Xenopus tropicalis: one gene and its partner. The protein of the gene in region 2 interacts with the protein of the main gene of each other region in a pairwise test. Links are inferred from orthologs where the notes say so. Each region holds a gene or a part of one and is shown on either strand. Other genes may lie near its edges.

What was found.
Region 1: the proteins of tpp2 (region 2) and polb interact in binary tests that used the Homo sapiens proteins (3 or more experiments, as listed by UniProt). The two-hybrid records come from large-scale screens. The link is inferred for Xenopus tropicalis from reciprocal best matches to the Homo sapiens genes TPP2 and POLB.

The regions. Positions count from the first base shown.
Region 1 is NC_030679.2:130,628,768-130,632,595, forward strand, and holds part of polb (DNA polymerase beta), read right to left. Parts: intron 3,449-3,828; coding exon 3,382-3,448; intron 1,274-3,381; coding exon 1,199-1,273; intron 637-1,198; coding exon 578-636; intron 385-577; coding exon 335-384; intron 1-334.
Region 2 is NC_030678.2:119,708,820-119,712,647, forward strand, and holds part of tpp2 (tripeptidyl-peptidase 2), read right to left. Parts: intron 1,727-3,828; coding exon 1,598-1,726; intron 1,302-1,597; coding exon 1,206-1,301; intron 421-1,205; coding exon 316-420; intron 1-315. UniProt on the Homo sapiens protein: Cytosolic tripeptidyl-peptidase that releases N-terminal tripeptides from polypeptides and is a component of the proteolytic cascade acting downstream of the 26S proteasome in the ubiquitin-proteasome pathway.

The DNA of each region.
Region 1 (3,828 bases), on a different chromosome or scaffold from region 2:
GGACCATGTGAAAATAAACCCTTTAAATATGTGACTGTCAATAGTGATAGACTGTGGAATTACAACACATGCATTTAGTTACAACCTTTAGGCCCTGGCCAGAAAGGAGACTCTCACATTAAGCAAAAATCTTTAAAGGAGACCTGCACTGCCCCCCTCCTTATGGCTAAAGCCAGATGGACTGGTCTCAGCAGAAACACAGTCAAGGCATCATTTCAAGACTGGCCTCCTTGTATTCTATGGATATTAATACATCTGGCCTTAAGATAAAGTCTACAAAGCCATGACCATTAACACTTAAGTAAAATGAAACTCATTAGCATTTGGTACGTACCATCTAATGTCTTAATTCCTTCGTCCACCAACTTCCTAGCAGCTGCCGGTCTGTTACACAATACAAACATAGAATTAGAAGAATATACACCCCAAGCCTAAGTCATCATATACAGCCTTTCCACGTTCAGCAGACTTGTGTACATTTCCCCCTACCCTTTAGGGAGCCAAACTAGTTATACTCCTGTTATACCTACTCGCTGTGCTGTTGCTGAGAATAACAGTACTAAAAAATGGTACTCACCCTATTCCAGTGACCCTTGTAAGAAAATTAATGGAGGAGCTGGTGTCATCTTGCCGGATCTACAGAAGAAAAAATACAACACACATATATATGTATGTATGCTTCCTGAAGAAGAAACAAAGATGTATGGAGAAGGTGCTTGCAATTGATATTCAATTAAAATGATAACAGCGGAACCTGGAACATCTCCATGGAAAACCACAGGAACGGCAATATATGTTTATGACAATTAAATGTCTATGGAAAATATTTAAGCTGAGTGATGAAACCTGGCTGCTCCCATGAATATGCAATTCGGTTACATTTCCCTTATTTGTGTAGCTAATTCTCAGGGCAGGGCTACTTAGCTGCAATACTCATCACTCATAACAAGCACACAGTCAGTGGTAGACTGGTCCTAGATCTGATATATCATGGATTCTGCTACCCAGAATCAGGGTAATATCTGTGTAAGACCATCCTGTAGTTATAGCTATCGCTGCCATTCGGATTTCAACAATATGGTGTTCCCTCACTTTTACATCATTACTACAGCTCTGTTCCAGCACATTTGTACAGACTGTATTACTTTTATTTGGAACATAAGTAATAAAGTAACATATAAATGGACAAATATTTTACCTTTTCTAATTTGCGCAGTTTTCCAGTGGCTAGAAACTCATCTATTTTCTCAGCAATTTTGGCTCCAACCCCATCCTAGAAAAGAAGAGAAAGAAAATGCATGAGTGCAATGGAACTATCCCCCCAAACAATGTAGGTCTCTATAAAAAGATATTGCATAAACAGCTCATATGTAAAACCCTGCTTCATCTAAATAAACCATTTTCATAAAAATATACTTTAGTAGTATGTGCCATTGGGTAATCCTAAATAGTAAATTGCCATTTTAAGAATTAAGGGCCTCCTGGGATCATAGGATTCACAGTGCACACAAACAAGCCAAGGCACACATACATGCTAGGTCCCATCAGCCAATGAATGGACAGAGTTCTGCCTTTTGCTCCCACACTACTTCCTGTTACAGTTAGAGCTGCATTATTTCCTGTCAGCCGATCTCTGAGGGAGCACCCAGCCCATAACTAAATGGTAGATCAAGGGAAAGGATGTAAAAGGGCAATATTTACTGATATATTCCAGTTTGGCAAGACTCTTTAGGTCACTTAATATAATATAAACTATCTGTTGGTTAAGTATTCATTCTGAGGGTATAGTTTTCCTTTAATAAAATTTTAAGGGAACTCATCTCACCAGAAGCATCAGCGCACAATACAGCGACTGTAGCCAGCAGGCACCTGACTTTCAGGGTGTATAGATACTGAGCATGACTGCAGGCAAATAAGCGGTGGCATGAAGCTTAAAAAAGTCTGAACATCTATTTGATCTGGAGGCCAAACGGCATCGCTAAATAAAATGCATTAACTGTAATAAAGAGACACACAGGAGCAGCTTTCCCTTACTGCAAGGAGAATTAATCCCATGATTATGGTTATATTCTTCTACAGCAATTTATTGGCAGGAAAGGGTTGACTGTCCTGCCAATAGAACCAGATATTTAGTGCCTGTGTGCATGCTGATAAGTTCCTCATTCATTTGTTATAATTTAACTCCATTAAGCTTCAAGTCATGGAGAACACTGGAGCAACTCTCAAGATTAGAAAAAATGAAGTTTCACATGTAATTTACCTGATAATGAAACTAAGGAGATTTTTTTACAATGAGAGCTGTTTATTTCTAAATTACACTGTTTACATGGCAAATAATGCAATCTCAGTGCATTGTGCCTGAGTCTGAGCTTTCAGAAGGAGCCAGCGCTACACATTAGAACTGCTTTCAGCTAACCTATTGTTTCTCCTACTCCCATGTAACTGGAGGAGTCCGAAGCCGTACTTGGATTTCTTACTATTGAGTGCTATTCTGATACCTACTGGGAGCTGCTATCTTGCTCCCTATTGTTCTGCCGATCGGCTGCTGGGAGGGGGGTGTGATAACACTCCAACTTGCAGCACAGCAGTAAAGTGTAACTGACTTGTATGTCCACATATGGAATAAGCCACTGTGGCGTCTGGGTTTTTAAAAATCACGACGACTAATTGCCCCATATATCTTCACCCTAAAGATACAAGGAGAGGTTTAGAAGACTGTTATCTCACTTACAGATATAGTCTGCTATTAAGGTCACAATCCACTAAACCCCAACCTGTAGAGTGTGCATTATCAATAGAGAGTGACAATATCCATGTAATTGACATAGACACTACCATGGCACACCTGCAGGAAATCTTCTCTCCCACAGGCCACAAAGATCAGAAAAGGAGATTTCTTGTAAGTGGGAGAGGTGGATTTCCCGCAAATGACAAAGCGCCCTTAAGGGCTGTGGCACACCGGGAGATTAATCCCCCGAAATGGCATCGCACCAGCGAGAATGTAAATTGCCAGTGGGACGGCATACGCAGCAATTTCGGGAAATTGTGGCGACTAATCTCCCCATGTGCCACAGCCCTAAGGTGGATATACATGGGAAGATTTTAGCTGCCAATCTGGCTCCTTCAGTCCAAGTTGGCATCTTATCTGGCCATGTATGGGACAGTCAGACGGGCCTCCTGACTGATATCTGGCTGAAAATTGGGTAGATATAGATAGGACAGGTTTAATAATCTCAACAGAGCAATGACCGCATAACCTTGTTCATGCAATCCTTGGCATGTAAAACTACGTTTATAGCTTTGCGCCCATCTATTGTAAATAGAGCATGTCCCCTTTAATCCTGCATCAAATGCACAGAAAGTAAAAACACCCTTACTCACCAGCTTTTTGGCCTCTGTCCCACTCTTGATCTTAGAGGGATATTTGGCAATAACAGATGCCGCTTTCCTGAAGGGCAAAGACAATGATTAGTAATATTATCAGAATCTGCAACAAGGATACATGGTATGTCAGCTGTATGTCCCTAGCATATGCCTACTGACATTATTTGGTTTCAGAGGGGATCCTGTTTAAAGGTGGCCAAGCGAGCGGATCTTCTTAGCAATATCGGGCTAATTCGGTCGTTTGGCCCTGGGGCCAAACAATCGAACTAAAATGACGGGTATAGGCGCTTGTCGATTTGGGGACTGCATCGGTCCCCGATCCGACTAAATATCAAACCTGCCCGTCGTTAATGACCATACACGGGTCGATAAGCTGCTGAATCTGTCTAAGGGACTGATATTGGCAGCTAGAATCAGCCTGTGTATGGCCACCTTAACTCTGCT
Region 2 (3,828 bases):
TTAATTACTTAACTTTCTATGCAGGCCCTCTACTATTTAGATTTATATCTATTTTATACCACTGCTTTGTTGCTAGGGTATAGAACACCATAGCAACCAGATTGCTGCTAAAATTCTAAACAGGAGAGCTGCTGAACAAAAAGCTAAATAACTGAAAACCAACAAAGAAAGACCTATTGCAAATTGTCCCGGAATATAAATTTCTACATCCTATTAAAAGTTCATTTAAGGTGAACCACTCCTTTAAAAAGATAAGTACAGACAAGATTTTTTTGCCTTAAAATAATAATTTGAAATTGTTAGTTCTGTTTCAACCTGAGCTTGAGCATTGGAGTTTGTGTCAAACTCTTCCTGTTTCTTGCAGGCTTCAGATAGTACAGCTCGATGGATAGGATCCCAAAGCTTCTCTTTACGCTCTTTCTGTAGATGAATACAAATCTAAGATTAACACAGTGCAATCTACAGTGTTGTAATTAATCAGAAAAAAACAATTTTGTAATTCATTCTTATTATTTAAAATGTTTAGTTTTTAAGATACAGACCAGTATCACCTCTGCTATAACACTCTCTCCTCTCTGTTCTGAAGGATTTGCAAATTCCAACTTGCATTCTGCCCACAAAAAATTGAGTTTTGGACTGATTTATTGAGAAATTCCACCAAAACCCCACTAGTCCCGCCCATCTGTTCCACTTCCTGCTGGCTGAATTCTCTGGATGTGCATGGGAGACGGCGGCTCTTAGTACACTGCACTGTAGCATAGGAACCAATCAGCAGCTAGGCTGAACTGATAGGGAACTTAAGCTTGTCTTTGGTTGTGTGAGTGCAGGGCTGTGATTGGCTCTCCCCCTCCTACTGTGCTTCTGGTAGGGACCGTTAGGACACTCCCCCCCTTCATTCTAATGGACAGAGAAGTCATAGAATCTATAGGGAACTCCAATAAATCAGCCATTTTTACAGATAGGATTCATTTTTAGCACAAAGTGAAACCAGCACCATATATTATTCATAATTGCCTAAACAATTAGTGTTTTTCCCCATTTATCCAATATGTCTCCTTTAAAGAATTTATATTTGATACCGACTACTAAAAATTTTCCATTATAGAAGATATTAGTCTGAAAATAGATATACTGCAGAATTTATAACCTTATTTCTAATAGTTTTGATAAGCCAACATAGAGGAAAGCAAGTTCTCTGACATTACCTGCAAGCGCTCCTTCAGTGCCTTAGGGTAAAAGTCAAAACCATTTTTCATACCAATGTGATATTTGCCAGAAGGATTTATCCATCTTGTGGGAATCTACAAAAATATAAAATTAAAACACCAAACATGAAAACACCAAGCTAAATTATAAAATGAAAGCTGTCTGAATTAGGTACTATGCAGACAATTTATTGTCATCATTTGCCTTATTTATTGAACTTTATTGTTTAAATAATAAAAGGACATAATCATCAGGTTGAATTCGGAAAAAAAATCCAGAATTTAAAAATCCAGCTAATAAAATTGCACTCAGAATTAATGTATTTTCAAGTGTTTCAACAATACTTACTTCGAAATTATGTTTTTAAAAAGAAATACAGAATTGTATATACCTTTAACGTTCTTCCAGAAAGGCCTACAAGTACTCCATCTTTTGGCTCAAGAACAGTGCTGGTATTCACATCACCACTTCCCGTTGTGTCAATAATGTCTATAATCTTTGGCTTCCCATCTGTTGTTTGCTGAGGAGAAAATAATGTTAGGGTAAAAACCTATTTCTAACAAAAACAAAGTTTACTTCTACAATGTACAGCCAACCATATTATAAAAATGCAAGTTCCCCAAATGGTACTCACAAGTATATGTTTAGAAAACACTTGCAAAGAGAGAAATCCTAATCAATTCTAATAATGCCATTAATAAATAGGGACAAAATAAAACCCAATAATTTAATTATAACAAATGGACTGAAACCTTAAAAACCTGTGCACTAAGCCCACAGTGGGGGCTTAGTGCACAGGAGGGGGGAGCATACCCCTTGTTTAACAGGACTTGTGCTGAAAATATATTTTGCTGTTTTAATTATTAAATGGTTTGCACTAAACAAAATCTAAAACTGGAAATAAAAGTTCAAAAATTCCTGTATTCTGAGCGCAAAAAAAACAAATCACCAGTTGTTAAAGTGGACCTGTCACCTTAAGAAATAATTCTAAATTGTTTTCTATTGTGTTTGTCAAGCAAAATAAACTTTACTTACACTATATAAATTATTCAAACCTTCAGCATTGGAATTTACAATTGCAGCAAGCAGGCAGGCACCATTTTGTGGTGTTTTGTTATCAAAGCAGGCATTGCATCCTGCCAAAATCTTGCTTCTGTGCCAGTATGGGGGGACCCGATGCCCATATCCATGCACTGGTTACAAAATTACATGGTTAGGAGGGAGGGGGAATGTGAGGAGAGCAGCAACATCTAAGAAGTCCTGAATTCAAAGTGAAAGTAACTGTCTGCCCCGCCTCTATGCCTAAGGCATAGAGGCGGGGCAGGCAATATATGATTGACAGCTGGGATTTTTAAATGCTTTTATAATGGGTATGGATGTGGTAATAAAAAAATGATTTGGGGTTTCATGTTTAATTTGAAAAGGGCTTTTATTATACAGCTTTTCATGTCTGGGTGACAGGTCCACTTTAAATTAAAGAGCAGCAAACACTTGAGCTGAGGAATGGGTTGGGTTGGATTATACAGAGGTTTTTTTTAGTAGTCTTTGCAAAAGAAGCACTTTTATTAAGCAGAAATCTATCTTCTAAATAATAAACAAAGGCAGCACTTACCCTTACTCACTCCACTGTAGAAGGGAGTCACCAACCCCTCCCTCCACCATAAATGCAGAGACTGGCAGCGAGTAAGACTCTTGATGAAATTTTTCATGTGCGCAGACCCTACATCATGGCATGGTGCGCAGTACTGAAGAACACAGATGCTGTTCAAACAGGAAATTTATAGCTCATAAGCACTTCACCTGGAGGCTAGGTAAGAGCTGTCTGATTACTATTCAAACAAAGCCTACTGACTTCTGCTTAGTAAAAGTAAAAAAAGTTCTTCATTTGAAAAGTCCTAACACTTTTGTAAGACTTTACAAAAGGTGAACATCCCCTAAACAATGTCAACAACTGATTTTATAAGAATCAAGAGAGTCAATCACCAGGCAAAAGTAAATATGATAGGTAGGAAATAATAAACACATTTGTTTTTAAACTTATGGTAAAAATAAAAAGCAGCTGAAAAAAGTCTTTATTTGTGGTGTATTATTTAAAAACAATAAGATGTGTGAAGGTGGGCCACCCCTTTAAGCTAATTTCACATACATTAACCAGGCCCCCTAATGAAATATTTAGGATGATCAAAGCTAATAAAATGGAATCATGGTGATATGTTAAAGATATTGGGCCAAATTACAGAATCTATAAAAATGACCCATGGGTATAAATGCTTACTTGTGTAAATAAGCTTTAATCTCAATATTATGTGGTAATCAACAGATGGGAATTAAAGAGCAGAGATGCAGGCATTCTCGCTTGATTTAATACCAGTCTATTTGGCTGCACTATTGCCTCACTCTTAAATTACATATACATGAAAAGCTTTGTGCCAGACAAGCAGGGCCTAAAAGGACTGGGGCCCACCAGCATTTCTTCTGGTGTTCCAGTGGGCCAGTCCGACCATGGACCCAAGTATGTGTCAGGCCAACTTGCACCAAAATACAGCTAAATGTGGGCTGTGTTTTAAAAAACAAATAAATCACACAATTAAACCTAGTAAAAACTCTCACTTTAGAACCAAT